Linked DNA regions of Yarrowia lipolytica. The protein of the gene in region 1 interacts with the protein of each later gene in a biochemical or structural test. Links are inferred from orthologs where the notes say so. Each region holds a gene or a part of one and is shown on either strand. Other genes may lie near its edges.

What was found.
Region 2: of the proteins of YALI1_C08600g (region 1) and YALI1_E16773g, one has a biochemical effect on the other in vitro, tested with the Schizosaccharomyces pombe proteins (2 studies listed by BioGRID). The link is inferred for Yarrowia lipolytica from reciprocal best matches to the Schizosaccharomyces pombe genes cdc25 and srk1.

The regions. Positions count from the first base shown.
Region 1 is NC_090772.1:850,678-867,182, reverse strand, and holds YALI1_C08600g (uncharacterized protein), read left to right. Parts: upstream 1-6,659; coding exon 6,660-6,787; intron 6,788-7,170; coding exon 7,171-8,674; downstream 8,675-16,505. Other genes in the region: YALI1_C08548g (uncharacterized protein), read right to left, coding at 10,723-12,348; YALI1_C08523g (uncharacterized protein), read right to left, coding at 13,284-14,831.
Region 2 is NC_090774.1:1,674,374-1,691,282, reverse strand, and holds YALI1_E16773g (uncharacterized protein), read left to right. Parts: upstream 1-12,745; coding exon 12,746-13,092; intron 13,093-13,593; coding exon 13,594-13,690; intron 13,691-13,941; coding exon 13,942-15,213; downstream 15,214-16,909. Other genes in the region: YALI1_E16900g (uncharacterized protein), read left to right, coding at 1,235-4,639; YALI1_E16854g (uncharacterized protein), read right to left, coding at 4,691-5,827; YALI1_E16841g (uncharacterized protein), read right to left, coding at 6,904-7,098, 7,145-7,171; YALI1_E16820g (uncharacterized protein), read left to right, coding at 9,240-10,652; YALI1_E16750g (uncharacterized protein), read right to left, coding at 15,641-16,309. UniProt on the Schizosaccharomyces pombe protein: Delays the mitotic G2/M transition by promoting nuclear exclusion of cdc25. During osmotic stress, inhibits the G2/M transition in a sty1 stress-activated MAPK pathway-dependent manner.

The DNA.
Region 1 (16,505 bases):
TATGATAGAAGCCGTGGAGGAATACATGCAAAGGTTTAAGAGGAACATGATAAATGAGTGATTATTCTTCCTCCGCCAAGATCTTCTAGACTCCAAGTTAGTCCACGGTACACCAGAGTGGAGGTGTTTGCGAGGACTTCTGGGTGTGACGCTATGATGAGAGAAGAAATGTGGGCAATGGTGAGTATATGGAGTTGAAAACTGTGAACCAAACCCCATTTTTCCAGCCACAACACAAGGTAGCTCATGCGAACACGTCAAGCAACCATTTTGCAACCATCTGTTGACATATTGACATAGCAGTCTTTGATATGAAGCAACCAAACATGCGGATTGGACATGCTGCTTAATGTCCATCTGTATCACTTTGACAACTCCATTCCTGGATGGAAACTAACTGGTTGCTTTTTCCTCACTGATTTACTTTTTGCCTGTCGTTTCTTTTTCTGCGTATCAACATCTTGTGCATTCCACACATGCACTATGCCAGGTCGGCAGGGCAGTCAAATGGAGACGATACGCCGTGAGCCGTGTTTTAGAAACCGAGGGACACTGCATGTGATTTCTGTGGACCCCCCCAATTTGAACCTCTTGGGGCTTCATGTCTTCCAGGACCCACAGTCGGTTTTGTTCTCGGTATAGACAAAGTCATTTACCTCTTGGTTAGCATGCAGTACGAGTAGAAACGTATGGTGCCGGCTCAAAGATGTTATGCCTCTGAAGTTTCGGCACAGTACTTTTAGCAAGGCCCGATTTCTTGACCGGGTTAGATCGCGAAATGCCATCAACTGCTGTTGCTGTAGGTGCCAACGGGCCCATGGGGTAGTGTGCGTGTTATAAGTACATAAGTACAGTCGGTGATGAAGAGAAGGAAGGAGCCATAATAATAAGTCGCATCGGTGTCTCACACACTGAGACTTGCCGGTTGAACATGATGAACCTTTGACATTCCTCTGAATTACTGTAGCTGGCCCACAGCAACCAAAACAGCACCCTGTCGACCGTATTCAGCAGGGACACTAACAGTCCGCTATGCGCTCGCTAACGGTAGTTTATTGGGCTGTAGGAATGCTCACTTAGGTGGAGGCTTTTGGTTTGCGTTGTTAAAAGACATATAAACAAGCGTAAAGGCCTCATCTATAACTGGCACTATTGTATCTCTTATGAACGTGGGCTAGTCTTGTCGATCCTCAGCCGTATCCGATACTCAGCACAAACGTGGATGAAGAGAGTGATTTTGAACACGCGTCCACCCTTGCAAACATTACAGCAGTTCTCTGCTTGTCAATATCATGCTAAGGAGAAGAATAACCTGCCCGATTCACTAAGCATTAAACCCCGTCCGGGTTGAAAGTTCATCTCCATGAAGATGGCAGAGGGCCCGGTCTCTTCTGGAACGACAAATATAGACCATCAGATGACCGATCTGCACGCGGCGGGGCACAGATTCGAACTGTCGGCAGTATTATCGTCGCCGCCAGGGCTTGCACCTTGGAGGATGGTTATGCAAATAGCGCAAAGCGGCTAATTCGAACTTTTTCGGGGGTCCACAGAGACAATAGCTGATGACAATTGGATATTTGTGGGGGTCTCCATCTCTGGTAGAATATTAAAAAATTGACAACAAATATGGAGCTATTTATATCGAATTGTAAAAGATTGTTCAATATTACTTGCTCTCGATTACTCCATGCAGCAAAAGTATTTATAAGCCCGTCTTCTAATCCGACGGTCACGTGATACCGGGACCCGTGGGGTCCACGGTCTAAAGTGGGTCAAGGTCCTATTCACACACCATCAGGTGTGTATTTTTAGAAGACTCCACATCCACGAGCCGGGGCGCTCCCCACAGTGCCCAAAAAACCCTCAAACCTCCTGTACAACGGTTTCAGCCTGGGATTCTGTATTTTTAGCAGCTTGTAAGACAGCCCATGTGCGTCACTGCACTTGGATTTTGGAGAGAAATGGGTCTGCGAACCCTACGTCCGATTTGCTCACCAACGCTACCTCCATACAGACTGGTTTTTGCTTCAAAAAAAGACGACACCGTACGAACTACGCCTCGTTTGTGCACATGGACATGTGTTCTAAGAGGTAGATCCGGTTTAAAGGATATAACTCCGGGCAGTGGTATTAATAGCGCCAACAGTCACCCACGCGTACTCGCACCAAGATGGATCTGGCTCCCGGTACCTAGAGCAATTGTTGCAGCCTGCCGGAACTCGTATCGTACGGGGTCTGTGCGACACTAAAAAGAAAAAAACAATGTCACACATACGAGACACACATTGTGCATTGTAGCTGACCCTCAATATCCATCTTGCACGTACGTAGTAACCGGCCTATGCAGCAAAGTCTTCACTCTCATTTAACCCAAAACTTTTAGTGCCCGTACAGTGCGACGTATTGAGCAAGGGGGACAGTGGCCGACGCGGGAGACGCAGAAACGACAAGACGACAAAATGGGAAATGGAATGAAAAAAACAACAAAAAACAACAAAAAAAACCAAACAATCTGGACCCAGACAAACCTCTTGGAGGCTTCAAAGAATCAATAGGTCCTGTATGTAGTGCCTGTATACCCCTGAAGTGGTGAAGTTTATCTGAACTCTATACGCGGTGTCGCGAAAAAAGACGCGCAAAACCAAGTACGCGTGAAACATGCAAAAAATCAACTGAAAATGTTCACGTACAGTGCCAGCATATGCTATGGAACCGACGGGACTGTACTGGACCACCTCACAGAGCGCCAGTTGCAAACTAAGCGCCCGGAAACTCGGGTACCTGTCAGCAGGTGAAACAAGCGAACTGTAGGCGATATTGGTCTGTGTGAGACGAGAGGACGGGAAAATAACTACCAGGGCTAATATTAGAATTCAATTTCGGCTTATGGTTTGATTTGATTGGCCGTATGACAAGGCTGAGCTGACTAAGCGGTCCGGGCAGGAGCTCGAGTACCGCTAGTATTATGAGGGGTACAGGTGTACGAGTATGAAGGCTTGAGGAGGTAAGAGAGATACTCCAAGGAGAAATATGGCCCCCTATTACGCCTCTTTGGGTCTGTTTTATCCCTACTTGTGGAAGAGATGGCTTGGGATCAGGCGGGCGTCGTACAGTGCCAGGATCAGCTGAGATTGGAGGGCATGTCTCAGTGAGACGTTAGCAGTAGTGTCAATGATGTAATTGGTTGCAATTGAAGTGTGTGAACCGATTGAAAAAGGTGAATTACTCCAGTAATTGCCGTTTTTTTATGCCGTTTGGTGTTATCTCTCCAATATCGGATCTTTTGTCCCACAACAGTCCGATTCGGTATTCTTTTTTTTCAGGTCACATGGAAGCGGCGAAAACAACTTGTCCCGGCAATTGCCACAGCAGTGCCACAGCAATGCCTCAGGGAACAGTCGGGTATGTCCCCGTTTCATCTCCAGAAAAAATATATCAGCACAGCTCCACTTATTATCTATATCCGCTTGTTGTATTTGTTGTCTTTTAGTTTCTGCCCTACCGTTATCCATATTGGGAACCTAACCAACTCCCTTCCGAACTAATACACATTTAAAAGAAGACAAATTGCCACAAATGTATCAGGATGTTGCCAAGAAGACGTGGATTCACCTGTTTGGAGTTTTCGGGGTCGATTTGGGCCTTTGGTGACAAAATCTGTCTCCGAAAAGTGACATGTTCCGACACTATCGACGGCGGCTGGAAAAAGTCTGTCGGAGGATTAGCGCCATAATTGGGCCCTAATCTGCACGGGCTAGATCCATTTGGGTCCTGACACCTCTTTGATCGCTGCCACGACCATGCCCTACCGCAGCCTGGGTGTGTGCACATATTTTTTTGGGGGGTCTTCCATTTGTTTGTCTTTGCTTTTTTGTTGATTTGTTGTTCAATATGCAGTCGGCACTCCACCGACATTCCCACATCTGTCACAGGTGCCAAAGAAAAAGGCGAAGCCCCCCCTGCCACAACACAGCTGGTTTATTTGCACAACCCCTTTTATTATCTCCTCTAGTGTACCGTCCACCCAGCCGCCCACAAATAGTTGGACAGCCCACCATGTGGCACCAAACATGCGTTGTTATGACAACCCGAACGATTACCTAACCACCTCCCCACAAGAATACTCCGTCGGGCATTCCAGAAGCAGCCAGACGCACCAACCAGATGATCGGTGCCTGTCGGCGCACCGGTTCCGGACAACCGTTACTGCAGCAACACCTCCGTATGGCACGTGTGTATGGTTGGGGGAGCGTTAGACACGGTGGGAGGGTCGGTCCGTCGAGTCAGGTTAGACCCCACGGGCTTGTTTTGACATACCATGTCAGGGGGGTTCGTCAATGGAAGAGTGTACACTGTACGATAGCAGTGTACCGTACGATACATGGCCGGGTCGCTAAGAACGACTTGATCCAATATTTAATTATTTTGATCGCCGGATTTCCCGATATTCTGGGACAACGTGTTACAGACTAGGGCCGTAGGTGAGGCGTCACGCTCTCCTCATGTCCAGTATATTAGTATATTATATCAAATTATCACAACGTTACAGCGTCCATCGGTCAAACTGATGGATTCGGAGAAGTCAATTGTGGCGGCTACGTGATAGAGTCGATATGGCGCGGTATGACGGAAGGTAGGAATCGCCGACTGATTCACCGTACAAAGTCTGGCGACAGTAGATTGGTGTATTTTCCCATAGTTTCCGGATTTTTCCCCTATTTTTCGATATTTACCTATTTTAGGTATTTTTTTTTATTATTCTTTTCATAGTTTTGCATTTCCCCTAGTTTTGCGTATTCCCTCTATCAATCCAGCTGCCCTTTGTACACCGGAATGCTGATTCGGTTGGCATCCTCACCTAATCGACGGCACCATACAGTGTATGATGCAGGAATATTGCTAGGGTTAGGGGTTCTATTCCCATCTGGTATTCATGGATAGCCTTTTTTATAGTATTTGGGTTAGTCTTTTACATTGGCATTGTGTGCACAACAAGATCGAAACTATCAAACCATGACACACTGTAGCCGTTGTGACGTAGTGAGCCGACGCTGTACAAAAACTGACTAGGCGGATTTGGGCCCTCTGCGAGCTGACGATAATTGCGAGATTTGTAGCGGGTGGGCCTCGCGCCATGTATTCCGTGGATGCAGGGCTAGCAAGCTGCAACCAGACGCATCACTTTTCGTGTTGCTTTTGGTACAGTGTGATATCTGTACCACCACCCTGTGCCGCTTTGGTGCACCTGTGGCTATGAAAAACCCCTCAATCATCATCACTAGTTGCAGATCATCTCTGCACCCATCTCCAGCTCTTTTCGGAAACCGGTGAGATGCAGCTGCAGCTGTGGTGCAGCAAGTCTCGCGAGGCAAATTCCACAGCAACGCGTGATGTATGGGGTAGAGTGGGGGGAAGGGTATCAGGGACTGGATGTAGACGCTTGATGCATGCGAGATCACATATTCACTAAAATGTGTGTTACTAGTAGGTGTTATACTAGTTGACTCAGGAACATGCGTGCCGCGTCTGCCACACGAAATACAGCGCCCCGCTTGCTCATATCTCGACAGTTGATGCACAAGATGCGTCAGACAGGCAGTCGAACAAGCACATACAGATTAGAGAAAACGAGAGTGTAAATATGGATTAGGGTATGGGGGAAGTGGGAGATTACAGGGTAGGGTTAGGGACGGGCTTAGGGTGCGAGTAGCCTACGTAGTCGTACTGTAGATTTTACATTTTTTTGATTTTTTTTTGGCAACGTGCACAGACCGTGTACCGAGCTTGTGTTTGGCGTGACACGAGTTGGTGGGCGTGTTGCAAGGGGCATTTTGGTGCCGGCTAAGCAGTGTGTTTGGGGGTTATTGGTTGGAAAAAAATGCATGATTCCCGCTCATCAGCGTCAGACTTGGTCCTGTTTCTCCTACCCGCGACTCTACTGAGGCGAAAATCTGAACAGTGAAAACGGCCTATTTTTTTGTCTTTTCTATTTTCCCATTTTCCCCATTTTTTGTCTTTTCCGTTTTTATTATTATTTGAATACAATGACCGACCTGTGGCCAAGTGTGGTTCCCTTGTCACCCATGTTTACAATAGTTTTATTGTCTCCACCAAATACAATGGTGTAGACTTGACGGTCCAAAACTTTACAGTCTCTTTGTCAGGGTCTAGCAATCACACAGGGCTGGCCGCCATTGTTTACAAACCTAGACGTGAGTATAAGAGGCTGCCGGCCGCTATCGAGGTTGACTGACTGATTGATCAGGAAAAGGTGAGTGAGGATCAGGGTGAGGTGAAGGCGAGCGAGGGCGATTGAGGTTGGTCATGATCTCCTCGCGGTCCGCATAGTCTTGTCGGGGTGGTCATGGGTTAGCTATGGTCTTGTCGAGTTAGCATGGTCAATGGTTACTGGTCGGTGACATGATCTCTGACCATGCAATGGGTCCGAAGAACCGCTGCGAGCACGCGTGCCTGCTACAGCTCCTACCTGCTACGCCATGTCTCACACAACGTCTCCAACCGCTGCACCAGTTGTACTCGACATTGCCAATATGTGGTTGGCCCAACAACCAAGTCTAATTCTAATGGGCAAAAGGCAAACATGCGCCAGAGGAAACCAGCTCACAAACTTGATCTCCTATCCACACTAACACAGGATGCAAAGTGTGACTAGTCCACTGTCACGACGGCACATGTTTGACGACTCGCCGTCCTACAAGCGCAAGCTGGTTTCGCCGGCCTGCATGGCGGGAGATCTCACCGCTGCCGCCGTTCATATCGAGACGTGAGTATGAAACCAGGAGAGGGATAGGCGGGGTTAATGGGGATGATGGTGATCAAATCGCTCTGATTCTGAGCACATGTCCCATCATGAGTCCCCATCATGAGTTCCCACCATGTGTTGCAGACTGTATGAACCTGAGCATTTCCAGCCAAGTCACAATGCGCTGACAAGCGGGGGTTCTGTGAATCGTTATCGTTACCACGTTGCTGTAACAATGTCAACACAGAATACCATTGGGAATCAGCTGGACTTTACTCATGACATCAAGCACCAGACTGTCTCCCCCAGTTAAGCCCTTTTTCTTTTCTCACCACTGTAGACTTCCGTTTACATGGGACACGCACACGCAGACAGCGTGCAGTTAATTATCACCACTAACGCAGACCCACCTTGCCCACTCCAAGACGCTCGCTATTCACCGCCAAAACCCCTGCATTTCTCAACCTCCCTCCCCCAAACGACTCCTCGACGCCATGTGGAGTCCCCATGAAGAAGTCAATGAGCATGATGGAGCCCATGTCGCCGCTGTCCGCTGGCTCGGACGGTAGCACCACCTTTGGCAGTAGCACCAGCAGTAACACCAGCAGTAACACCAGCACCAGCAGCATCCAGATGCACCGGCTACGAAAGAACAACCGCAGCACCAGCAGTCTGCGGCTCACCAGCGCCGGCGTTTCGTTCGACCCCATTGACGAGGAAGGTAGCTTACGTAAGCCGTTCCGTTTCTCGCTTGAGCTGGACTCGCCTGCCAACACCCGCTTCACACACTCCATGAATGAGGCCGACAGCAGCATGGACACAGACGAGGATGGCCTTGGTAGCTTGTCTCAGAACTTCCGTTTGGGAGGAAGCACCAGCCACTCCAACACACATAGTCTGAACTTTAACGGCTTTACGCTCGGCGGCGCGGCAGACGAGAGTGCGGGTGCTGTTGCCGCAGCAGATGTCACCGCTGACGACATTAACGATACGCCGTCAGCGCGGCCGGTACGGCCCTCTCTCAACCCGCTATGCAAGCGGTCATACAACTCGTCGTCCACGCCATTTGCTGCCAAGTTCAAGCGGCCCCGACGAACCCACTCCATGTTCCAGGACCCCAAGGAGCTTATGCAGGAGGAGCTGGACGAGGAGAAGGAGATGGTTCGACGCCTTTCGCTGTCGCCCGACGTTAATAACAACGTGGACTCCTTTCTTGTGTCCGCTGACTGCACTCTGGAGTCGTTTTCCGTCGAGGGCGATCCCTTCCGACGCATCAAGCGAGAGACTCTGGTCCAGATTCTGGACGGTCACTATTCGCATTACTACGATCGCCACGTTGTGATTGACTGCCGGTTCGAGTACGAGTATGATGGCGGCCACATTGACGGCGCCATTAACATCAACTCCAAGGATCGACTGGAGGAGCTGCTGTCCAACGAGGAGGGCATTCTCGGCAACAACTGCAACAACATGATGCGGCCCGGCAAGCGGGGCGGAGACTCCCGGAAACGTACTCTGTTGATCTTCCACTGCGAGTACTCTGCTCACCGAGGCCCGCGAATGGCCATGCATCTGAGAAACCGAGACCGTCGGCTCAACATGACTAACTACCCGCACCTGAACTTTCCCGACGTGGTGATTCTGCAGGGCGGCTACAACCACTTTTTCGAGCAGTTCCATACACGGTGCTACCCTCCCCAATACGTCGAAATGAACGATTCCATGCATAAGAGCACCTGTGAGAGAGAGATGGGCCGATTCCGGCGTCACATGAAGCTACGAAGCGAAAGCTCCATCAACAAGCAGCAGGGCGTCATCTGTTCGCCGGTTGGGTTGTCTCGTTCGCTGAGCGAAAACGTAGACTATCATCGACCCAAGCGGGTGGTGAGTTGCCAGCTGTGGCGATGATGTGCATCCAGAGACACTTGCTTCGATTGATCAATTTCCACACAGGTTTCTGTGGGGCAGCCTTGATGGTTGTCCTTCAGTGTCTTCTGAGATCCTGCAGCGGTCCAGAGACATCAAAAGAACACTGATATAAAAGTACTGACAATAATACATTATACCCACTACAAGTAGTTTGAGCAGTGTAGGCAGTGCTGTGTGTGGAAGCCGGTATAGCAGAGTGTACGAGCACGAGTACTCTTCACCCTCCTAGGCGACGCATTTGAAACTAAAAGTTCAGTGTCTCGATAGAGCAGGCAGCATCTACCGCACTTGTTTATGGATTCATCATCAGACCATTGGGGTGGTTACTTTTGTTGTCCGCCTCATGTGCACGCACTGTAAGTATGTTACAGCTGGTCTATGGCGAAATACCGCAAGCTAGTGTTTGGCCAGGGTAGCACGAGTTTTTGGTCTTGTCGGCTATTGGTCGAGTTCAGGGAGAAAAAGTTGCTCATTCCGCTTCTTTTGCGTCTCAATTGCTCGTCTCTTTTCGGCTTGTTTTTCACATCCTGTTTGCTTTGCTCTTTGCTATTTTGGCGATACTGGCACGATTAGCTTGCTTAATCAGAGTGCATTGTTTAGGCAAGGGGAAGGAGCCTCGGAAGAGACGGGCGGATGTGCTGTACGGGGATTGTGGGGCTAAACAAGACGGAAGGCGGGTACTTAATAACTCGTCTTGACGGCGCAGTGTGAAACGGAGCTACTGGGGTGCACGTATCCCGGTCCGTACCAGTAAAAGTTGTAAAAGTTGTAAAAGTTAGCCTACTTGTAGGTGGGGCTGACCAAAAGGGTGTGCGATTATGTACGTACGATTCCGATACAGCACGGGCACTGAGGCTGTAGGTTGCTTTATTATGGACAAATGATTGCTGTTGGAGGAGGAGTCTTTTGTTTATTGGCATTAGTCATCACTCTTGGGCTTGGTCTCCAATGCGATGGCGTCAACACCCCCAAATGTCTCAACCTTCCGATTTCCACCCAGCCAAATGCACAAGTTAGACCACTTCCAAAACAGGGCTCCAAATGCGGCGCTAACAGGCCCTTAACCCAGTGTCAACAGATTGCGCCACATGATGGCTGTATTCTCCGAACCAGGGTGGTCCACAAAGAGCCCATTGTGGGCGATACCGCGTCTCTTTGTCCCCAGCAGCCTCCTATTTTCGGGCCCTTTTCTCTTTTATACACCCCACAAACCCTGAGCTTAGCACGCATCGGTTTGGCGTACTTTACGCGCAAGCGGGGCTAAACGCGATGGCCATATGACCGGCTACAAAGAGAGATGTTGATAATAAATGTGAGACACGGACGTGGCGGCTGGCTGCATTTGTGCGACACGGGAAACAGGGCCGGACCGTGGGGCGTAACGAGTCTGCGAGCTGTTTTGGTTGGTGTATGGAGAAATATAAGAACCAAACAACAAAAATATAAAAATTTAGAATATAAAAATAAGAATATAAAAATAAGAATATAAAATAAAATAAAACCTTTCTCTGACAGTCGCCAAAACTCACTTGAGACTATAAAACAAAACAGCTCACCCCACAAAAAGATCTGCGGCGATCGAAATGTTGCTATTGCTATCTTTACTGTGTTGGCGATACGATGCCGTTGGAAATGAGCGCCAAAAACGGTCCAAAAGCGGACCTCAAGCTCCACGCTGACGTCACTTGACTAAGCAACAAAAAGGTAAACAAACCACCGAAGGTATTCACAATGAGCTTGGAATGCATCCGAAACTGCTTACATCACGTACAAGTACTCTCGGCTTGGTCATATGAACACAATACACATACCAAACACGTACGCGATCACCTGAATCCCATATATATCACCTCACCATGATCTCCTGACCTTCCCCTGACTAGTCAGCGCTACGACAAAACGTCTTATCAACGTATCTGGTGTACCCCTCGATTTAGTGCCACCACCTAGTATGTACTGTATGAACGGTCATAGAGTCACCTCTTTGTATCCATTATTATGTGTCTTCCCAAAATACCCGTATGTACTTAAATGTACTTGTAGGGGTTGAGAATGTGGTTAGGGTCATAGGCGTTCTTGAGCTGCTTCATCAGATAGACATTGTCCTCGTCCTTGGAGTACTGGATGAAATGCTTCTTGATGAGACCAAGACCGTGCTCGGCAGAGATGGAGCCGTGGACCTTGGATACCCACTCGTAGATCCAGGGCTCGAGGACCTGAGAAATTCGCTCAGAGTACTCTCGAGTCATAATGTTCAAATGCAGGTTACCGTCTCCAACATGGCCGTAACCAATGACATCAACCACGGGCTTGGATGCGTCCGTCTTGGAGATCATGTCCTTGCTCTCGAAAACGGCTCGCAGGTCGTCGACAATGTTGTACAGCTGGGGCAGAGGAATAGAAATGTCGTACTTGTAGACACCACCCTCCTTGCCAATGACCTCGGTAATTCGCTCTCTCCATGCCCACAGGTTCTGGAACTGAGTCTCGTCGCTGGCAACCACTCCGTCGCAGACAATCTCCTGCTCCATCACGTCCTCCAGGAAAGCCTCGAGCTTGGCATCATCATGCTCCTTGTTGGAGCCGGCGGTCTCAATGAGAATGAAGAAGGGGCTCTCAGTGTCGACCGGTCGGGTCAGGTCGCAATGCTGCTGGACCCAGCCCTGAGATCGGCCGTCCATGAGCTCAAACGCAGACAGAATCTCACCGAGATCCTTCTTGGCGGCAATGAAGGCCTGCTGGACCTTCTCGTACGATTCAACGGCCAGGTATGCCACATTCTTGGCAGCAGGTCGCTGGGGACACAGAATAGAGACGGCGGTAATCACACCAAGAGTACCCTCGGAGCCAATGAAGAGCTGCTTGAGATCGTAGCCAGTGTTGTCCTTTCGCAGCTTGGACAGCATGTTGACAACCTTTCCGTTGGCAAGCACAACCTCGAGACCGAGGACGGAGCCGTGAAGAGAGCCGTATCGCAGAAGACGCAGACCTCCGGCGTTGGTGGCCACGTTTCCTCCAATGTGACACGAGCCTTTGGCTCCCAGATCCAGAGGGAACATGAAGCCCTGTTCGGCCAGATACATGTCTGCAGCCTCGAGAATGACGCCAGCATCAGCAACAAGGATTCCAGAAACATTGTCAAAGGACCGTACCTTGTTCATGTTGCTAAGCGACAGGATGATCTCATCGTACAGAGGCACAGATCCACCCACCAGACCGGTGTTTCCTCCCTGGGGCACCACCGCCAGTTTCTTGTCGTTGCAGTACGACAGAATCTTGGACACCTGCTCGGCAGAAGTAGGCTTGAGCACCAGCTGAGTCTGTCCACGGAACTTTCGCATCCAGTCAGTGTTGAACATCTCAATGTCCTCTACGTCGGTCACCAGACCGTTTTCGGGCAGAATGGTCTTGAAATGCTCAATGTCGGCCTCGCTGAGTCGAGCATAGTCGCCTCGGGTCTCAGTCCTGTACCACTCGGCAGTCTGCTTGACCTGAAGAGCAGGAGCAGTGGTGTGAACAGATCGAGCGGAAGGTACAGCCTTAGCCAGAGCCAGGGGCTTGGCAGAGAGCTGGGTGGCGCTCTTGGCAATGGAGTGTCGAGCACCCCGCAGGGCAACCCGGGACACCAATCGTTTACCGGCAGATTGCATCATGGTCGTAGTGGTTTGTGGAGGTGAGTCAGAATCGATTTTTTTTTACCTTCACCATCACTTTCGGGCGCTTATTTTGAAACCTTAATTCGGTGATGTTGAAGCAGGTGCGGATGAGGGGAAAATGAGCAATTTCCATTGGTGGAGGAGGACATGTGGGGGACAAGTGGGGGACAAGTGGGGGATATTTTGTGTGTTTTTTTTTTTTTTTTTGGAGGGGGGGTTTGGTGTTCCAAGGATGGTGGTATTTTTATATTTTTTTGGGAATTGACAAAAAGAATAGTTTAAACGGATTTTTCAAATTTCGTTTCTACTTCAAACGTCTCTTACCACATTACAGTCTCATGGTCGAGCCGTTGTACTTGGTAAGAGAATATTGGCTTGATGGCGGCCGATTCCCTTCGTTTCAGATCTTGACAGCTATTCCTTGTACATGTGGGACACGAAGTATCCAGTTCTTCACCATCCAGATTTTGACATTGTAAACAGAGCCCTTGAATAACTGTTGATACCAATAACATCCTAGAATGTAAACGCACTCATTCTATGCAGAAACTACCACCTGCCGTTCCAGATGTCCTCTGATCCAAACCACCCTCGTGGAGCTGGAGGAGGATCTGGGAGCTTCCAGGAACTGGGTCCTAGCCCTGAGCTGGGCAACTCATCGAACGCCCTCTGGATCCGAGGAGTCTAGACACCGGCCGGAGTATCAAGAAGACCGGGCCAGGTAAAGTGGAGTCTTTGATTCCGAGAGTTGGTGGTATTCGGCGATTCGAAGCTCAGCCCAATATCCAGCTGTCCAACTAATGGTTTCCTGTCAAAAGTTCTTACACATTACCGCACGCCTCAATATACCATCGCACAAGTATATCATCTTCTGAATATAAATTAGTGATTAAATTATTCGTTCGTAGGGCATTATAGTGTTGTTGCAATGTCTAGACAGACTCAATGTAGACGTGCTGTCCGTCCTTCTTGTCGTCAGAAGCGTGCTCGTCGTAAGCAGCGACTCGAGTGGTAGGCACAAACTGGTGGGATCGAGAAGCAATCTTGATCTCGGCGTACATCTGGTCCACCTCCTCCAGAGTAAGACCCTTGGTCTCGTAGATGAAGAAGTAAGTGAAGGCGATGCACAGGAAGTTGCAGCCTCCCCAGATGAAGAAGACCTTGGTCTTGAGACCGGCCGATCCAGGGGCCTCGTCGACGAGGTAGGGGGTTGCAAAGGCAATGGCAAAGTTGAAAAGCCAGTTGGAGGCGGCGCATAGAGCAACACCCTTGGCTCGGATTCGTAGAGGGAAAATCTCTCCAATGACAACCCAGGCAATAGGACCCCAGGTGGCGGCGAAACCGGCAATGAAGGTACAAGTGAAGGCAATCAGAACCTTTGAGGAGGTCTCGTTATCAATGGCAGTACCAACAGCCGCCACGATAAACTCGGAAGAGCACATGACGATAGCTCCGATCAACAGCAGCTTTCGTCGTCCGACTCGATCAACAAACATGATACCGGGGATGGTCATAACCACGTTGACAATGTTGGTGATCATCTGGATGAGGAAGGGGTTGGAGATGTTGGACTTCTTGAAGAACTCGGTTCCGTAGTAGAAGATGAAGTTGATACCGGTGAGCTGCTGCAGGGCCTGAATGGCAATACCGGTCAGCATTCGCTTCAGCTGGGACCCCTTGGGGGAGAAGCAGGCGGCCCAGGTGGCGCTACCGATCTGCATCTCGTGGTCGTGAGAAGATTGGATCTCCAGGAGCTCCTTCTGTACAGCCTCGTGCTCAACAGGAAGTCGTCGTAGTCGTCGCAGGGAATCGGCGGCCTTGTCGTACTCGCCCTTCTTGATCCAGAATCGAGGAGTCTCCGGTAGCAGGATGAGACCTCCACTCAGGATGACGGCCCACAGAAGCTGAAGGCCGAGAGGAATTCGGTAGGAAGCACTGTTGTCTTTGTTTTTGGTTGCGTTGTTGACAATGGCAGCCAGCAGAAGACCAATGGTGATGGCAAACTGGTAGATGGAGACAACGGCACCTCGGATCCACTTGGGGGCAACCTCAGACTGGTAAAGAGGAACGATGGAAGAGACTCCACCAACACCAAGACCAGCAACAACTCGTCCGACAATCAAAAGCGTTCGGCCGGTGGCAGCAGTCTGAAGAATAGCGCCAACAGAGAAGACGACACAGAAGAGGATCAGACCCAGTCGTCTTCCCAGAGTATCAGAGGCCCAGGGAGCAGAAATGGCTCCAGTGAAGGTGCCTGCAGAAAGAATGGAAGTGATGAGCGAGGTCTGCTCAGAAGTGAACTCCAGGCCGTCATCTGTAAAGGTCTTCTTGACGAATGGCATGGCCATGACGCCGGAAATGGTTCCAGTGTCGTATCCAAACAGAATACCTCCAAACGCGACAAACACGGCCACAAAGGCCGCCATGAAGGCCGAGCCCTCGGGCTTTTCTCCACGGTTGATGATGTTAGCGAGTCCCATGGTTAGTAGTGAATCAATGTCGTGTTTCAGGTGGCAACTACTAGTCTCTATATATACACACACGAGAATAATGAAACCAGTATGCTTTTGGCCATCATTCCCCAAGAGAGCTTAGCTGCTGCTCTCATGTGTCACCAAAACAAAGAGTTGACGGTGGGCGCCAAACCTTCCCCAGGTTTCTTGTTTGGCAAACGCTCGCACCACCCTCCCCGGTCTTTGACCTACCTCGGGGGTTATGGGTCCTTCTACCCGGGCGGAATAAACTCGCATGGCGCGGCACTGTCTTACCTATAGTTGCGGTGGAGAGTTATGCTTACAAGAGGTTCACCATCTCCTACTTGTAGTTGACTGATGTCTAGCTCTACATCTTGTTCCGGTTCCACGCGTGGGGCTTCTTCCATGTACAGACGGCTTTGACACGGTACAGTAGTGGCCGGTAAATGTCGCGAGAAACTTTGGCCAACCGTCACCAACTGCATCTGCGGGTTGGCGCGGTCCAAAGAGTTGGCCAAAGGCAAATTCTACGCTTCCTCTTGCTCTCTCTCTCTCTCTCTCTCTCGTCTGAGACTGCCCAACCTTTTTGAGGAGTAGTCGCGCAGCCGTGCCGTGTGGGTGCAGCGATCGTCTTCAGCCGTGCTAAGGGAGCGCACTAGTGTTACGTGGGGAGGGGGTGTCACGGGTCCCAGAAGCGAGTCATGACAAGACCCAAGCGGTCCTGGCGAGACGTCTGATGCCGTATACTTGATCAAACCCCGGATTAAATCTGGAAGAAAAGAAAAAAAAAATTAGCCATAAGCGAGCTCCCCGCACATCAATCTATGTACCCCTTGTTTGGTTAATCCGCTCCAGCTGGTTTCTTGTTCTGATGCACCTACCCCGGTCGCCGAACAAGACCTGAGCTATGCACGGGGGTGGTTGGGCAGGACGCATCTTCAGGACCCACATCAACCTGCTTTTGAAAGGTTGTCTCCTTGTCTTTCTCTGTCTCGACGTCAAGTGGAGCACGGAAAAATACTGAAAAGTTAGTCTCAAATTTCAGGAGGGGCAAAACTTTATGCACGAGGCCGACGAGACAAGTTGGAGGGAAAATGGTGGCCAGAATCCGTGTGGGCGAAAGAAAAGCGTGTGCGGATAAACCGCCGGGCCATTTTCATATGTTGGTAACCCCCGAGCAGACAGCGGTCCATTCTTGGCACGCGTGTCTCGTCTTGACTTGAAGCATAAAAGAAGCGGTTAATACAAGTGCATACAGTAGTGTCTCTCTCCTCCCCCACACAAGACAACCATTGAAATCAGCAAGTCGCTTCTTGTGGGGAGTGTAGAGCCCCGGAGTTTATTTCCCAAAAAAATACGACATTCTGTTGCCAATTCCGAAGTTCCACGGCGACAGAATAACGGTCCGCCATCAGACAGCTGTGGATGTGGGAGCCCAAGAGGGTGAAACACACGTCCATCTCGGTGTTTCGTCGAAAGCCGTCTCAGACCCTACAAGTAGTCTCTTGGCTTTCCACTTGTACGTACAGTAGCTACTTGTCAAGACATTGCGCATCAGCTCGAACCGTTGAGAAGTACGAGTGCCACGAGTAGGGCGTACTGCCCGGTACGACCACGTACAAGATACGGTCGTCTAGTGCATCGAGCCGCTTCAGCCTCTTTTACTCGACAAACAACGAA
Region 2 (16,909 bases), on another chromosome or scaffold:
TACTGTACTTGTACATCTCAATAGCGTCTAAAGGCTGAGTAGAGATGAGTCAGAAGGGTCCACCTGATGAAGAATGCTTGTTGTGTGTCCTCAAGCAAACCAATTGTGTTTGTTACATACCCAGGAACCTTCCAATGTCGTCTAGTAGCTCATAATCTGTTTCCTGGAGAACTCCGAGGTCGGAATTGGGAGTTGCAGGAAGTACCATCTGTCCTGATACGACAGGCGGGTGATGTACCTGTACTAGCATTGTGGCTACTTGTAAAAAATGATGAACTATTCTGCTGGAGATTATTCCTGGTGCTCACTTCAAAGTCTTGTCTTTCCTTTCTGGTACGAGTGCTCGTTCATAACTACAGTAGTAGTTACTAAACCACTTCTGGCATCCTTCACAACGGCTCTACGAATAGCTACTGTACATACCCCAAGGAAAGTACTTGAACCGAGACTGTAAACCACCAGAATGGCCAATCAAAAGCCACGTCTTCGTGCTTCCAATTGTCCTACTCGTTCCGATTCTTGCACCGGCATTCGTACACGCACATACTGTACAAAATGACCTCAGACGATGCATGCTGTAGACACCTGCAGTTGTAGATTCAGGGGTTGGTTGAGTATATTCAAGTGTGGATCGATACTCAGTATGAGGATATTCAAGTGTTGACTGAGTATATTCAAGGGTCGATTGAGTATATTCAAGGGTCGATTGAGTATATTCAAGTGTTTAGTGCTTGTGAAAGGGACATTTGACTAGCTTGTCGCAATCGGATCACATGTTGACGGAGTTTTCGAACTACAAGTAGTTGTACGGGATCGCATTGTCACGCACAGTCTTCCCCGTCCGCCTTGTGTGTAAATTATATGCCCTTATTCCTTTTTATTTTGGCTCATGTTTTGGCTTCCGGCGAAATAATAACATAACACACACGGCTGACAGAGATGGGCAGCAGAACGTGATAGATGGTGGCTTGAAGCCATATATTGAGTACATAGAAACTCCATCAGCCATCCACAGTTGATATATTTTTGTCACGTGACCGCAATAGATGTTGCCCCCCCTCGGGTCTAGGAGCCATCTGGGTCCCTTCACCTTTCGCGGAGGAATTGCATGGGTGATGCACGACCATGTTATTGTTCCAAACTTTCATCCGGATATTGTCCCTGACTGTTCAAGCACCGCTCTCCAACGCTCCAACCCTTTTCAGCTCGTCGGCCACATCCCTATGAACCGATAATGAACCAGCCCGACCCCAAGGCTAACGTCAGGCCGCTGGCCATTCGAGGAAACTCGTGGTACAGCGAGACTGGTGAGGACTCGTCGCAGCAAACATCCATGCCCTCATCTCCATCTCAGCGACTTTTGGGCAGCACAGCAGCCTCCAGTCTGGCTGTGTCTCCCGTGGGATGGGCCACGAGGGCCGGCATCACGCTGCCCCTATTCCGAAAAGCCTCCATGATCCTGCCAAACACAGGACAGCGAGTACGACGACAAGTGACTTTCAGCAACGAGGAAGGGCGACTGGTGCCACAGACAATCAAGATAACGCCTGAAGAACTGGAGGCATTAGCAGACGCAAACGCAAACGCAAACGCAAACGCAAACAATTTCCAGACAACGTACCAAAATTACAACAGTATCACCGAATTTGGAGAACCCAACAGCAGTTCTTCTCCAAACTCGCCAGAACCGGACCCCGAACGGTCCTTCAACTACGCTGTATCGACAGTTGACAGCCCCACAATGTGCCACAGACACAAACCAAAGCCCACAGGAGTGTTTGGGAAACTGAAATATTACGCCACTGGAGCATGGATCGATCCAGAAGCAAAGGTCGTCTTAAAATGTTCAGTGGGATACCTTCTAGGAACCGTGTTCGTCTACAACGACCGTCTCTCAAGACTATTGGGTAACGGTGACTCCAAACATATGGTTGCCACTTCAGTTATTTATTTCCACCCAGGAAGAACCATGGGAAGTATGGTTGAGGCTCTTATTTTTGCATCTATCGCCCTGCTGTACTCCTTTTGTGTCTGTTCTCTGAGTATGTTAGTGTCGGCATTTCTGGTCGACTTGCATATGCGCCTATTGGCGTACATTATCGACCTAGTCATCTTCTGCGCCGTGGGACTGGGCACTCTGGCCTTTGTTAAGCAGAAAATGGACTTGCCGACTTTCAACACTGCCACTTCACTGGCGTGTGTGTGCCTTGTTAGTGTGCTGACGAAGGAGGGAAACGTGCAGCAGGGCAGAATTTCTTTGGAACAGCTGAACCAGATCTTCTTGCTCGCCATTACTGGTTGTACTGTGTCTGCTCTGGTTTGTGTAACGCTCTGGAGAACTTCTGCAGTCACAGAACTCAAGCAATCCATTTCAAACACCATGGACATATATGGAGACATGCTTCTGTATCTTACCAGGCAGTTTATGCGGGCTGTCGACGTGGACAGCGTCGAGTACATTGAGCTCAAGGCCAAGCTGCGTGCCCAGCTGAGTTGTTTCAGAAACATTCGTCATGCGAAGCTGGAACTGTACTTGACAGGCCGAGAAGATGAATACCACCAGCTGGAGAAGCTCGTTCATCACATGAACAGTATTCATCAGCATCTTAACGCTCTTACTTCAGGTGTTGAAACGGAGCATTCTACATTGACGCGAAAGAAGCTGTCCCAGCTGTTTAAGGACAGCCCCATCAGAAAACGACACTCATTGAAGAGAACTCTTTCTACCCCTGGAAGTTCTCTTCCTTCCCCGAATTTTGCATCTACAAAACCCAATGAGCCTACAATCACGCCTGAAAATCTGTTTGATGTCTTCTTATACCACTTGGGTCCACCCATGAAGTCTTTTTCTCTGACCATGAAGCGGATCTTGCACGGTTCGGAGCTCGACAAATGCGATGCCGAGGCGGATGTTGCTCAGTACCAGAGATCACTTGGTCTTGCTGAGGAGCTATTCTGTGAAGCCAGAAAGAAGGCTCTGGCTGAAGTCTACGGCTTGGGGCTGTTTAAGCGAAGGCACAATGACGAGTTCATCACTGATTGGGAGCAGGTGGCGGCTTCGTGTGGTAACTTCTCGCTGCTGCTTGAAGAAATGGCTTCTGAGGTGCAAAAGTTGCTGGGAAGCATAGAGGGATACCTCACCATCCGTGAAAACGACGAGAGAAGCTACCGATGGCTGTGGGGAGGCAAGCATAGAGAACCGACGGCAGCAGAGGAGGCAGAAACTTCCCAGAGGAGTGCAGTCAACAAGATCATCAGTGGACGTAAGACCATGGCGTTCATGACTCGACAATCTGATCTTCTGGAGGAGGGGTTTGCTGGGCGAATGCATGATGATCTCAATAGTGCTCTGACTAAGAAGGCAAAGCACGGAGAGCTCGAAAAACCGTCTATGTCGTTCCGTCTGTGGAAACGCCTGCGTGTTTTTAGAAGACGAGATGTCCAATTTGGAATTAGGGTAGGTATTGGAGCAGCTATGTTTGCTACCCCCGCTTATATGCCCAGTCTTCAGCCAATTTTCTATACATGGAGGGGCGAGTGGGGGTTGATTTCCTACGTGGTCATCATGTCCAAGTCAGTAGGAGGCACTACTTGGACTGCCTGGAAACGAATTATCGGTACGTTTTTGGGTGCTATGTGTGCCTATGTGTCTTGGGTTTTGTTCCCAGAGAACGAATACATGTTGGCATTGATTGGAGCTGCCATTTCTTATCCTTGTTTCCGCATCATTGTTACGTGGAAGGATAACAATGCGTTTGGCCGATTCGTTCTGCTCACCTTTAACATTACAGCTGTGTATTCGTACTCGTTGTACCTTGGAGACAACGACAATGACGACGATGAAGGAGGTCTAAGGCCTCTGGTAGGTACTATTGCTTTCCATCGGTTCGTTTCTGTGTGTGCTGGAGTTATGTGGGCGTTCCTGGTTACTGTTCTATTGCTCCCCAACAAGGCCCGAGTCAATCTCAAGCATGGTCTGTGTTCACTCTGGTTGCGAATGGGTCTTACGTGGAAAGACCCGCTGGCGTCCCAATTTGATCCTGCTACTGGAGGGTATAGGTTGGTTGGGCTTGCTGAGCAGCCCCAGTTGCAGAACACATTGATCCAGCTGGACGGTCTGCTCAAACATGCCCCCAACGAGTTTCGTCTCAAGGGCCGTTTCCCTAAGAACACGTACGACAACATTCTCAAATCAACACAGAAGATCCTTGATGCGTTCCAGAACCTGCGACTGGTCATTGAAAAGGACCCCACCACGACTCCTCATGAAGCTGTTCTGCTCAAAAGCACGCTGGCTGAACGTACTGAGCTCAGTCATCGAATTTTCCTGCGGTTCTACATGCTGGCCTCTGCCATGAAGCTTGGTTTCCCCTTCCCAGACAATTTGCCCTCCACCAAGCATTCTCGAGACCGTATGATGGTCAAACTGAATATCTATCGAGGCAGTCAACCTGAAGAGTATGAGCAAAACAACGTCATGGCAGCTGGTTCGGAAATCACAGATAACGACTTTGCGCTCCTGTACATCTACATTCTGGTCTGTGTGACCATCACCTCCGAGCTGGAGATTCTAGCCAAGCTGATGCAGGATCTGTTTGGTGTTATTGACGAGGAGATGTTCGATATTAGTTACAGTTAGGAGTGTTAATTGCATTGTTTTAATTGACGTAAGAAAGAGGTTGTAAACTGTTTACAATGTGCGGGAGACAGCTTGAACATCAGACTTGTCGGTGTAGACAGCAGGAGCTAGTCCAATGCTGTAGTCCTCCAAATCGTAGACGACGTAGGCGTTCTTAAGGAAAGGTTCTCCGAGAACAGCATCATTCGGAGATTCATAAAGGGCAGAGTTTTGCACTCCCAGTACACATGAAGGGTCTGTGGTGTCCCCTGAGAAGAATCCCATGGGCAGTACCAAAGACGAAGAGTTGGCTGAGATTGTGAGTCCGTCGAATTTGAAGTCCACGGAGATCTCCGCTTGACAGTCGATATAATACAGACCCATATCTTTGTTGTAGTTGGTCAGGTTAAGCCCGCTTCCTATAGCTCTGAACTGGGTGTCTGGAAAGGCAATAGCTAGCGACCCTGAGTCCAGTGTGACCGGCAGATTGAAGTCGAGTTCGTGTCCGCCAAGTACGAGGCTCTTGAAATTAATCTGGGGACCTGCACTGGGGTTGGCGACGTTGTAGTAATGGAGATCTCCAGAGTATTTGGCGTGGTCAATACCTCCCAGTAGAAAGGTTCCGTCAGGAGAATGGGGACCGTCAAAATGGAGAGAGTAGAGCACATGGTCAATAAAGCCCTGTTCTTTGGCGGAAAACGGAAAGTTGTAGTACTGGGGTTGTCCATTTCGTACCGACATTTCTACTTGCTTGAAAGACACACCCAAGATTCCTTGCTTCTGGTCTTGCATGTTAGAAACAGCTCCAAGTTGCAGATTGGACAGAGACAGGCCTGCTGCGTTGACATTATCGGTCACCCAGTATCCCTGGGCTGTTCCTCCGACGTATGCCGCGTTGAAACTGGTTCCTAAAGATTTGAACGTGGAGGAAGCCTGGGGGTTGAAGAGCCCTGGACCTCCAGTTTGGTCATCACCCACGGCTGGTATCCATAGATCAGAAGATCCTGTATCAAAGCTGACTTCGAATGACTGAGGAGGAGTGCCCACACCGATGTATGTGGAAATATAGACCCCAGGTCTTCCCTTGACCGACCCTAGGTATGTCTTTTTAGAGACATCCATAGACACCACCTTGGGGTTGGAGGGTGCAGCTACTGAAAGAGCTGAGAGAGCCAGAAGAGCCAGAAGAGCAGGGAACGAAAAGAACATTATCTCCACAACTACAACCACGCTTACAGATCTCTTATATGGAATGTAATAGATGGTAGAGTTGATGCCGTTTGCACTTTATCCACCATCTGACAAACCGTATCCACCTACAAGTACAAGTAGTAGGGTTGTATTGAGATTAGGAGGGGAGTAGAGACTAGAAGTGTGGAGACACAGAGGAAGTTGAAAAACAAATTGGAGTACTATCAAAAGCCCGCAACCGCTTGAATTTACAGTCGGACTGACAAAAACGAGAATGTGTGTGTTGTCTGAAACATCTCCAAAAAAATTGCGAATTCTGTGGGATCGAACACAGGACCCCAGATTACTCTGACCGAAGAATGACTTTCAGTCTGGCGCTCTCCCCAACTGAGGCTAAATCCCCGATTTTTTCTTTGTTAAAAACCCAGGCCCCCGTGACTAAGCCGACTGGATGACTCAGCCGGGGTGGCCATAACCCAAGGTATGGTCACTGCCGTCACTCTCAAGAAAGGTGTATTAGAAATACATGGAATAGGGGTTTATATGTTATCCAGGGTTGGGCGGCGCAACCTTTGTCCGTGATAGCAAGGCTTGGCATATCGATATTAATGATAGCGGTAATCCCACTGAGGGGCCCACGTGGTGGCGCCCCTCGGTCGTAGTCTCCCCGCAGCGGTTCAGAGAGACTAATCCAGGGCGGCTATTTCTTAGCCGCTGATCCCTAACATCATCCCCCCCCCTAAGATGAAGTCGTGGAAGCGACTTCCATCTTAACACGATAAAAAGCAACCATGATTCGACGTCGAGATGTCCAAGACAAACATTCCCCGTGAAACAATCTTATGGATCAGACTATCCATACAATAAGGTGCAGCCCTCAGCGACGCGAGAACTTACACGAGGCACGTTGAAACTCCTCATGACCAGAGACAATCACAGCCGACCGACATCAACCCGCGGGGTCAATGTCTGAGAATAACAAGGCAAAACACAGCCCAACTTCGCAGTTGACGGATCAACAAACCGACAACCACGTCGACTAGGCTTCAAACAGTTCCGAGAAACTCGCCTCGGAGGAGCAGACTCTCACATCTCTAAACAGACCAGAGATGGCTGTAGTGTACCAACGTAACCTCAGCAATAACACTGAGCCGTTCATCCCAATCCACACCGAAATGAACAAACCGACATACGAGAAATAGAAACATCAGAAACCGTTTCGTTCCTTTCTCACCCCACCTCAAGATGATAGCATCATCTTCAATGCGACTTAACACACTCCAAGGGATCTACCGACACAGACAGAAAGAAAAGTCTGGTCTAAACCCTTAGAACAGCAACATGACGATAACAACACGTCATTACTCACCTCAGGACGACAACCTAGTCGAACGTAGCGGAGGCTTTGGCAGTGGAAGCGACTACTTGTAAAGTCCACACAACAGACTTACAAAACAGGGGGAAACATCACGAACGAGCCATGACCAAGTTCAGTGATAACGGGTATGCCGCGACAAGTTCTTGTCTCCAGCGACACTAACCAGCAGGTCGCAGGGAACTTGAGCTGACCAATACCGGTGACTGAGTTTAGAGAGAATCTCAATCGTTGGTACGCCACCGTGTCATTCGAAGACCACTCTTGAATTGCTAAACTCTTTTCTCACGAGTCCATAATGACGTCCCCCCGGACGCTCTTGAAGACGACGAGACAATAGTCGTCAGAGTTCGCATGTGTTTATGCAGCTGGACACAGCCCAACACAAACCTTAATGGTGGCAGATAATGCACACCTTGGCAGCAATCAAGAACCGGAAGACACCCAGCAGGGAGCCTAATCTTCGCTCACCAACATGTTACTGTACATTGCAACTTCCATCGACCTAGGATCAGTCCGTCTCATGAAGCCTCCTTTAAGCAATCAAGACCACACGCCAGTTCCCGGAAACATAGTGGCCTCGATGCGTCGTAACCGAGTATGACGACAACGCTGAACGGAATCCTTCATGGGGATGCCCTCCACCGCAGCTGAAACGACTCTCGAACCGTTCCTATGAAGCGCAGCCGAACCAAAGACCGTCGGCTATTCACTCGGAGCAACCATGCTACAACGAGTGCAAGATACGTCCTCTTGTCGAGCGCGCCTCCTTGGGGAGAAGACGTCACTCCTGTGAACTTGACTGTCCACCTTATGGCAGTAGGAAGGTATGGAAAGCTGGCAGAACCGCAGCACCTTCGCTACTCTCAGTGCAGACGCCACGTCTGATGTCGCACTGCCGTGAGCTCCATCACCGACATCGTCACTCTGGGATACATCATCCACAGACATCAGCCAGCGATACCATCACTCACTGAGCCAGCTCCTCGACAGCCGGAGCGTGACTCCCACGACGACAGGATGAGACTGCTAGACGATATGACACCAAATACATTTCGATAAAAGCCATCGGCATTTCTTCTCCACCTCTCATCCTTGGAAAGTTAGTCATGATCATGCCAACTCTCCCTACCACTCGTGCATACTTCACTCTCCCCTCCTCCCACAGAGGCCTGTTCGATACTGCGGGACTCCAGGGTGCCACCATCTTTTACCCCTCTAAAAAAGACGCCGACAACTAGAGAGGCCTGGTCCCACTCGCCTCTACTTGTAACCCAGCCACCCCTAAAAAAATTTCCGGGGTTTTTGGAACGATGACCTGAACTGAGGCAGCAGCAACGGTATGTGACTTGCGGAATTTCGAAGGACCGTAGCGGTGTAGGTGTTTGTGTCGTTTAAACCTGACCGACTTCCCCTGGCCCTGGTTCTCGCCCCAGAATCGCATTGCACAACAAGTGCATCGGCCTTACCAGATGTTAGACCCCAGGCCCCGTGACTAAGCCGACTGATGACTCAGCCGGGGTGGCCATACCGAAGGTATGGTCACTGCCGTCACTCTCAAGAAAGGTGTATTAGAATACATGGAATACAGGGGTTTATATGTTATCCAGGGTTGCGGCGCAACCCTTTGTCCGTGATAGCAGGCTTGGCATATCGATATTAATGATAGCGTAATCCCACTGAGGGCCCACGTGGTGGCCCCTCGTCGTAGTCTCCGCTAGCGGTTCACGAGAGACTAATCAGGCGGCTATTTCTTAGCCGCTGATCCCTAACAATTTCTTTTTCGGACACAATGGCCACCGCAACACCGTGGCGGGGTACAGGTTATGAGCGAAAAAGAGCGATATTTTCTTAGATCATGTGATACCTCATATCGATATATTAGGTAAAGTTCTCTGGAACCTTATTTTACTGTTAATTCAGCCTCCATCAAGACATTTACCAACCTGCAGGGTAACTCACGTGACGAAGTTTGGTTGAAAAAGTGAGATTCTCATGTGGTTCTAGAAAGCACCTCCGCACACCATACACACCACCATACACACAACTTTTCAAATGGCAGACATTTTGAAAAACGACGATGCTCTCAAGGAGCAGTTTGAGAAGAACATTTTACAGCGGGCCACGCAGGTTATGGGCTCAGAGCAGGACCCGACTCTGGGGCAGTACATTGTGATGATGCTGCTAGACGACTACGTGACCGAGGACACAATCAAGTCAGAGGTGAAGCAAATGACCGAGGGGCAGCTCAGCGACGACTTTGTGGCGTGGTGCAAGGACGAAATGGGTCGCGTGGCAAAACACGGCGGTGCGGTACAGGAGGACACAGAAATGGAGGATGAATACAGCGTGGGGTCTATGCCTGGCCGACGGAAAACAGAGAGCGTTTTCAAGGGCAGACAGGATCGAAGTGCGTTTGGAGGCGTGGGCAAGTCGCTCAAGGATCGGGTCGGCCGAAACGGCGTGTCCAAGGCATTCAGCAAGGAGGGGGAATATAGCATCAGGAGCAAGCCCACATCTACCGGGGGAGTTCCTACGGGTTCTGTAGGAGGCATTCCGACGGACGCACAGCAGGCCATGTTCGCGACGATGCAGAAAGCGCTGTCGATGGATCTTCCGCCAAAGGAGCGGTTCAACCATCGGTGCCGAAACTGGCCCAACTGCAACTACGATAACTGCAAGTACGTGCATCCCACAGAGGCATGTGAGGCGTTTGCCAACGGTGGAGCGTGTGCTGCTCCTCCTGGCACGTGTCTCAAGGTGCATGTTGGCCAGGATATCGATGATCTGGCCAACCTTCCCGAGCAGCCCAAGCCGTTTGAGTGGGTGCCCTATGAGAGATACAAGCCTGCAGTTCCCAAGGGCTTTATGCTCATGCCCATGATGACTCCCCAAGGCCCCCAACAGGTCATGGTTCCCCAGGTGCCCGTGAAAACGACCATCATGGAGTGTCGGTTCACAGACCGGTGTGCCAACCAGCATTGCACTTATGGCCATCCTACTCCATGCAACAATGAGGCCAAGATCACCGACCATTTTGCGTGGTGCGACAATAAGGAGCACTGTGCGGATCCTGAGTGTGTCAAGAACCATCCGTCGTCGTCGTTGGTGCGTGAGAATGAGTCTCTTCCCTCAGGCCAGACTCTGGAGCAGTGCAAGTTCAACAACTACTGCACCAACCCCAAATGTCGGTTCCGACATGCCATGTCCAAGACCATTTGTCGAAACGGAAAGGAGTGCACCCGAATGGACTGCATCTTCATGCATCCCGTGGAGACGCCATGCAAGTATGGCGTCAACTGTGCCAACAACAATTGTATCTTCTCGCATCCCGAGGGTCATGGAAACGGCACTGCTGAGCGAAAGTTTGTGAATGAGGCTGAGGGAACTGAAAAGCTCATTCCTGGCCAGCAGCAGCAGCAGGATGTTGAAGGTTCCACTGTTGACGCCGATACCACCATGGAATAGGCTGTTGTGTCAATGCCATACGCCGTTCCAAAATATAGCTTGGTCATTCGGACCACGGTAAATTATTGTAATATATATATTATTATTGACCCAACTGTGGGTTTGAGATGAACTGAGAGGGTTGTAGAGGAACGCTCCGAGTGGGGCGGTCTATTGTATATGTACTACTCATTACTCACAACTGTTTCAGTTACTACAAGTAGTACAAGTAAAGATATAATCAACCAACCAAGGCTACAAGTGCACCAGACTTGCATTCACTTTACAGAACATACTTGAAGATCGGTCAAAAGTACAAGACGCAGGCAAACTGCTATTTGTCAGACACACTATGATTATGGTATAAGACAGCGTAGCCCTTCATGTTAAGGACCCTTAGTCACTCGTGAGTAAGTGGAAGGTTTATGATGCCAGAACATTGCAATCGCACAAGTACTGTATGAAGTAGCCTGATCTTCTCCTTTTCATATAGGTGCGGTTGTTGTGGTGCGATTTTACAGGTCCCATGGCCCCTCTACAAGGGCCAACCGCCAGCTCACAAAACTACCCTCTTTATTGTTGGAAAACTAAGTGTTCGCCCACCAGTCTGGAACCCTTACATCGTATTGGGGCGTATCCGAGCCGAAGGATCGTCGTCAAGGTTTGTTAGGGCGGGTTTCACGTGAGCTGGGGTTCAGGAAGTGACGGACCATCAGAGTCCGACATTTCAGATCTCTCTATCTCCATTAATCCAATGTACACCTCCTTGTTGGCACAGTATCATGGCTAGCTACTGGTAGCCCATTTCGGTGGTGGTATGCATGTACTGAATTGCGCCGTTGAAACACCGTTTAAACGTTAGGGTGGCAAAGGCAAGGAGTCTTGTTGGGCATCTAGGACGATCCCATTTCGTATTTTTTTTCTTCTAATAAATTCTTCTAGGAGGACCCATTTTGTCACGGTATTGGCCAAGACTTCTCGCGTAAATGAGGACCTGAAACGCCCTTGTTGTGCGGTTCATGTCATATGACGACACGCCATCTCGGGGGGCATCGGACATGCATGGAGCACAAAGGGACAAACCGAAGGATGGGTCTCTGGGATCTTGTAGCGAATATGCCTTTTTGGTGAGCTGTGGAATCGAAATACGACGGTCAATCGCGGTCCCACAAACTGTCGGCAATCTCGTAGCGTTTTCCTACGCCCTTCAAAAGACCGTCTCGAAAAACGCACACCCTGGCTTTCGGGCCAACTATAAAGCCGCGACTTTATTTTATTTTTCATTGCTTGTGAGACTAAATGGACGGTCGATCGGGTACCTTGCCTGATTAGACAGTCGGTTTGAGAGAGGGGAGAGTCTCAAATTCTGTTGCCCAGGAGCCCCATTGCGGCGGATATGTGCCATGTGCGCCCGAAAACTCAGGGATTTGAGCGCCGCAGACGGTCGGGTCCAAAGTATCCACATACAAGACAAGACTCTAAATATTTTAATATTTTTGTTTCCTTGCTCCATTGTTCTTTGCTCCAAACCATGCCGCGTGTGCATTGCTACTTCCAGCAACCTGCATAGATAGCAGCCTGTACGGGTACATAGTGTCGCATGTGTTGATGACGTCAATGGAAGGCCCGGGGTTCGGTTAACAGGGACTTGACCGGTCGGAAATGACTGGTCACAACGGCGGCCATGACCTTCGGACAAAGGCCCGAGACACGGTTGGTATCGTGAACGGTCCCCCCCCTGACCCCCAGCCACTCTTCTCGCCAGCAACTTCCCCACTACAGCCGTGTGCCATAATAACGCAACGTCATGCGGCAAAGATAAAAACTAGCCTTGTAGCAATGACCCACGATGAGTGGGAGGAGGAGTACAAGTAGCGATCAAGGTATGCCTTGAGAGGAGACGTAGGGATAACCGTAGGCTGACATACTGTACTGCTTTGTATCTCACAACCGGCGTCCCCACGACTCCACCACCATCCCCTCGTTCACCACCTTCGCATCCCCAGAACATTCACGTCCTGCACCTGCAGTCAAAACACTCCTTTCTCCCACCGACACCAATTCTTGTTTCTGACTTACTCACGACACCACCACCACGCCTCTGATAAGACACAATGCCCGTTTTTGAAAACCTCAAAAACTTCATTCGGCATGGAAAACAGGCCCAGAACGGCCTGGAGCCCATCTCGTCCCGTAACTCGGGCCGACGAAGCCAACAACCGCCCGCCATCACCCACAGTAACAGTGAGCCGCTGACCAAAACCACAATGTTCAGCGAGGGCGCAGCTCAGACCAAGGAGCCCGCACCGGCCGCCAAAGCCGCTGCTCCCGCCAAAAAAGTCGACAAGGAGAAGTACAACGACGCGATCAAGGAGATTGTGGAGGAGGAGAAGCTGCAACAGAGCAAAATTCCCAACTACCCGGGACTCGAGAGATACAGGCTGATTGAAAAGATGGGAGAGTGAGTATGAGAAACGGGAGGGAAACATGGGGTTGTGTATGGTGACAGGCGGATGCTTACGACGGCCATATATATGGCCATTCTGGATGTCTGTCGTTCAATTTCCTTGGGTCATGGTGTGATGATGGGAGTATGGTTAAAGTGTGTGCTCAAACTTGTTAATTATTTTGTGACACGCTCGCTTACATCATGTTCACTATGGACGGTGAGGACATAGTGTCTGGCCATGTCCAGCTACTACATCCACACACTCGGACCTGACTACACCACTTGACACAAGTCACATGTCACTAGCGCGAATTTCCAACCATGTTGGTAATAAGCATAATGGCCTGCAAAACAGGTGGAGGCGTTTGAGACACGTGACGACGCAAGAAGAACTGATACCCAGTGTACTTGTAGCGCTGTTCCGTGCTTCACGCGCCAATGGGCTCTAAATACCACCCGCGCTAAACCCGCATAAGTGTGCGGTTAGTACATTATCTCAACATGCTAACATAGTGGCGCATTTTCCATTGTCTACAAGGCAGTGGATCTCCAGACCAAGGAGGAGGTGGCCGTCAAGGTCATTCGGAAATTTGAACTAAACGCCAATCAGGTGAGTCTTGTGAGGAGAGAGGAGTGAGAGAGTGAGAGAGTGAGAGAGCGAGAGAGAGAGAGAGAGAGAGAGAGAGAGAGAGAGAGAAGAAACGAATGCTTGTGCCTACACTCAGGAAAGAAAGACACCACTGACACAAGTCGCGACATTTAGGAAACAAGGCTAAGCATGAACAAAAGGCAACACAGGTGGGTTAATGAAGGATCAGGGATTGAGGTGGTTATACCCGCAGTCGCAAAATACTAACTCAGCGTTCGAGTATCCTCAAGGAGGTGGCAATCATGCGTCAATTACGGCACAAAAATGTGGTGCAGCTCATTGATTTTAGCGAAAGTGAAAACCACTACTTCATTGTTTTGGAGCTTCTTCCTGGAGGAGAGCTGTTCCACCAGATTGTGCGTCTGACGTACTTTTCCGAAGACCTGGCCCGACACGTGATTGTCCAGGTCGCAGAAGCAGTACAATACTTGCATGAGGAGGTAGGAGTGGTGCATCGAGACATCAAGCCCGAAAACCTGCTCTTCTACCCTGCTCCCTTCACCCCCAGCAAGAAGATTGTGTTGAGAAAGGGTGAGGACGAGAGCAAGGAAGACGAGGGTAAGTACATTCCCGGCGTGGGAGCCGGAGGCATTGGGGTTATTAAGCTGGCTGATTTCGGACTTTCCAAGGTGGTCTGGGACAGCAAAACCATGACTCCTTGTGGTACTGTTGGATACACCGCTCCTGAGATTGTCAAGGATGAGCGGTATTCGAAATCTGTCGACATGTGGGCTCTGGGGTGCGTTCTGTACACTATTCTGTGTGGCTTCCCTCCCTTCTACGACGACAGTATCGATGTTCTGACCGAGAAGGTCGCTCGAGGACAATACACTTTCCTGTCTCCCTGGTGGGATGAAATCTCCAAGGGAGCCAAGGATCTCGTTTCACATCTGCTGACGGTCGATCCCGAGCGTCGGTACACAATTGAGGACTTTCTGGCTCATCCCTGGATCACCCAGAGCAACGAGCCCACCCATCCTGCTTTGGATTCTCCCATGGCGTCCATTTTGGACCAGCGAAAGGGCCACACTCCCGCCACGACTGCCATTTCGCGAGAGAACGTCGAGGCCGAAGATCCTCAACCCCACGACTCTGCATCAACTCTGCATGTCGAGCACCCTGCCGAGGGCGCCTCCACGTCGTCGTTTGAGGATCCTCAAGCAACGTATCGGTCGCCGGCCACTGTCACCCTCAAGGAGGTGTTTGACGTGTCCAACGCAGTGCATCGAATGGAGGAGGAGAATGCGCGACGTCGCCGAATGGGCGGCTCCAAGAATCTCGGCATGTTGACCGAAATCATCACCGACGAAGAGGACGAGGAAGACGACACTCTGGAGGGAAGCATGTCTCGAGTGTCGGTGGCCGAGAACCCTCACGCCCACAAGCGCCAGAAGCAAAAGAACCGATCAGGCGTGTTTGAGCTCAAACTTGACGGCGCCACGTTGCTTGAGAAGCGAAAGAGAGCCGCTGCCGGTGTTGCATAGCGCGCAGCGTCTGTCGCTCTTGTTCTGAGTTATCGAACGGCATTTTTTATATCTACAAATCAAACGGGGCAAAAAATCAACCAGAGACTTCAAAAAATCAAACGTTTGCACTTGTACATTTTAGCACGATGGACAGTTTGCACCACGGATCTACGGGTTCCTTGTGTGCGAGAGAGAGCAGGGCTCGAGTTGCACAATGACACACAAAGGTAAGGAATTGGAGGGATAATTCGCAGTAATAAAGTGAGGGTATGTATGACTATTTGTAACAGAAATTGTAGACAAGACTCAGGTATGTGCTTGTATGAGCACGGGTACTTGTACTTGTAGATGCTTCTCATTCATGTATGTACATACATTGGTACATATTCGTGCTGTAGATGTAAATGTGTGTATATTAGTTGATGTCTATAATGCGTGTCCGTGTCTACTTTTTTGTTTTTCTCTTCTTCTCTCCCTTGCCAGTCTCCTTGAGCTTTTCCTTCAGACTCTCCTGGTATAGATGCAAATATTCCTCGCCGTAAACCTCGACAAACTCCTCCTCCGAATGCACATATTTGGTGAAATCAAACGGTTGAAAGGCCGTCTTCAGTTCTCGTTGTTTCTTGTTCTCCTTCTTCTCGGTAGGGGCATTTTCGTTCTCCTGGCAATAGAACCGTCTCAACAACATGATGGCCTCTTCACGGTAGAATCCGGGGTATGCCTTGTAGGTAGGGTCGACTCCCTTGTCCGAGTGAATGCTCATGACGCTTCCACAGCCGCCAAACCGGTCGTTTGCACATCCATAGTACACGCACTTGATTTTGAGCTGTCTCAGAGCAGATGCACACATGATACACGGCTCCACTGTGACGTAGAGATCGACCTCTTCAAAGATATCGGCCGTGTGTGTCTTGAGAATGTGCTCGATACCCAGAAACTCGGCGTGGCGGGTTCCACACAGACTCTTGTTTGTGTCATTCATGCCTCTGGCAATCACCTTGCCGTTGTGCACAAACACGCATCCCACAGGCACCTCGTTATTGTTGAGCGACAGTTCTGCCTGTTCGAGAGCCTCTTCCATGAAGCCCGAATGGTATTCGTATTTTGTAGTCATTGTAGGGTACTGTACTCGTGCTGTTTGCGTTTTTCGTTGGTCTTTTTTTTCTTTTTTGGTCTTTTTCAGTTAGCCCTGTCAACTGATGCAGAATCTTGTTTTTTTTCAGCGTCCTGCGATAAGGGTTAGGGTTGATCTGGGTGGTTCGAGTTCCGAGATGGATGACTAAGACTGGGTTTGGGTTAGTCCTGAATTGGATGCCTCGACATTTTCACTTTCAGTTTCTCCACGCGCATGGCATAAATTAATCCAGGGGAACGAATAAGAGAAAGCCAAAGAAGCACACACGTCATGTACGGCACGTAATTTAGCAGGCGGCATGACAGAGGTGATGCAATGCTTCGTGGTCGTGGATAATTCGAGCTGGGTGATCGTCGGTGATCGTCGAGGGAAAAAATCGTGTCTATCTTGATTTACGTGTTTTGACAGACTCTGGTGACAGGGCTAATAGTCGGGGGCGGCGGGCGTTAGAAAACGATTAAATTATGATTAATAACTTGATCGTTTGGAGAAGTTCCCCACGTTTCAGTCTAAATTCCTCCACTACCAGACATTTTGTGTTAATACCGCTAGAAGGAGAGGCCGCCAGCAGTTGGTGAC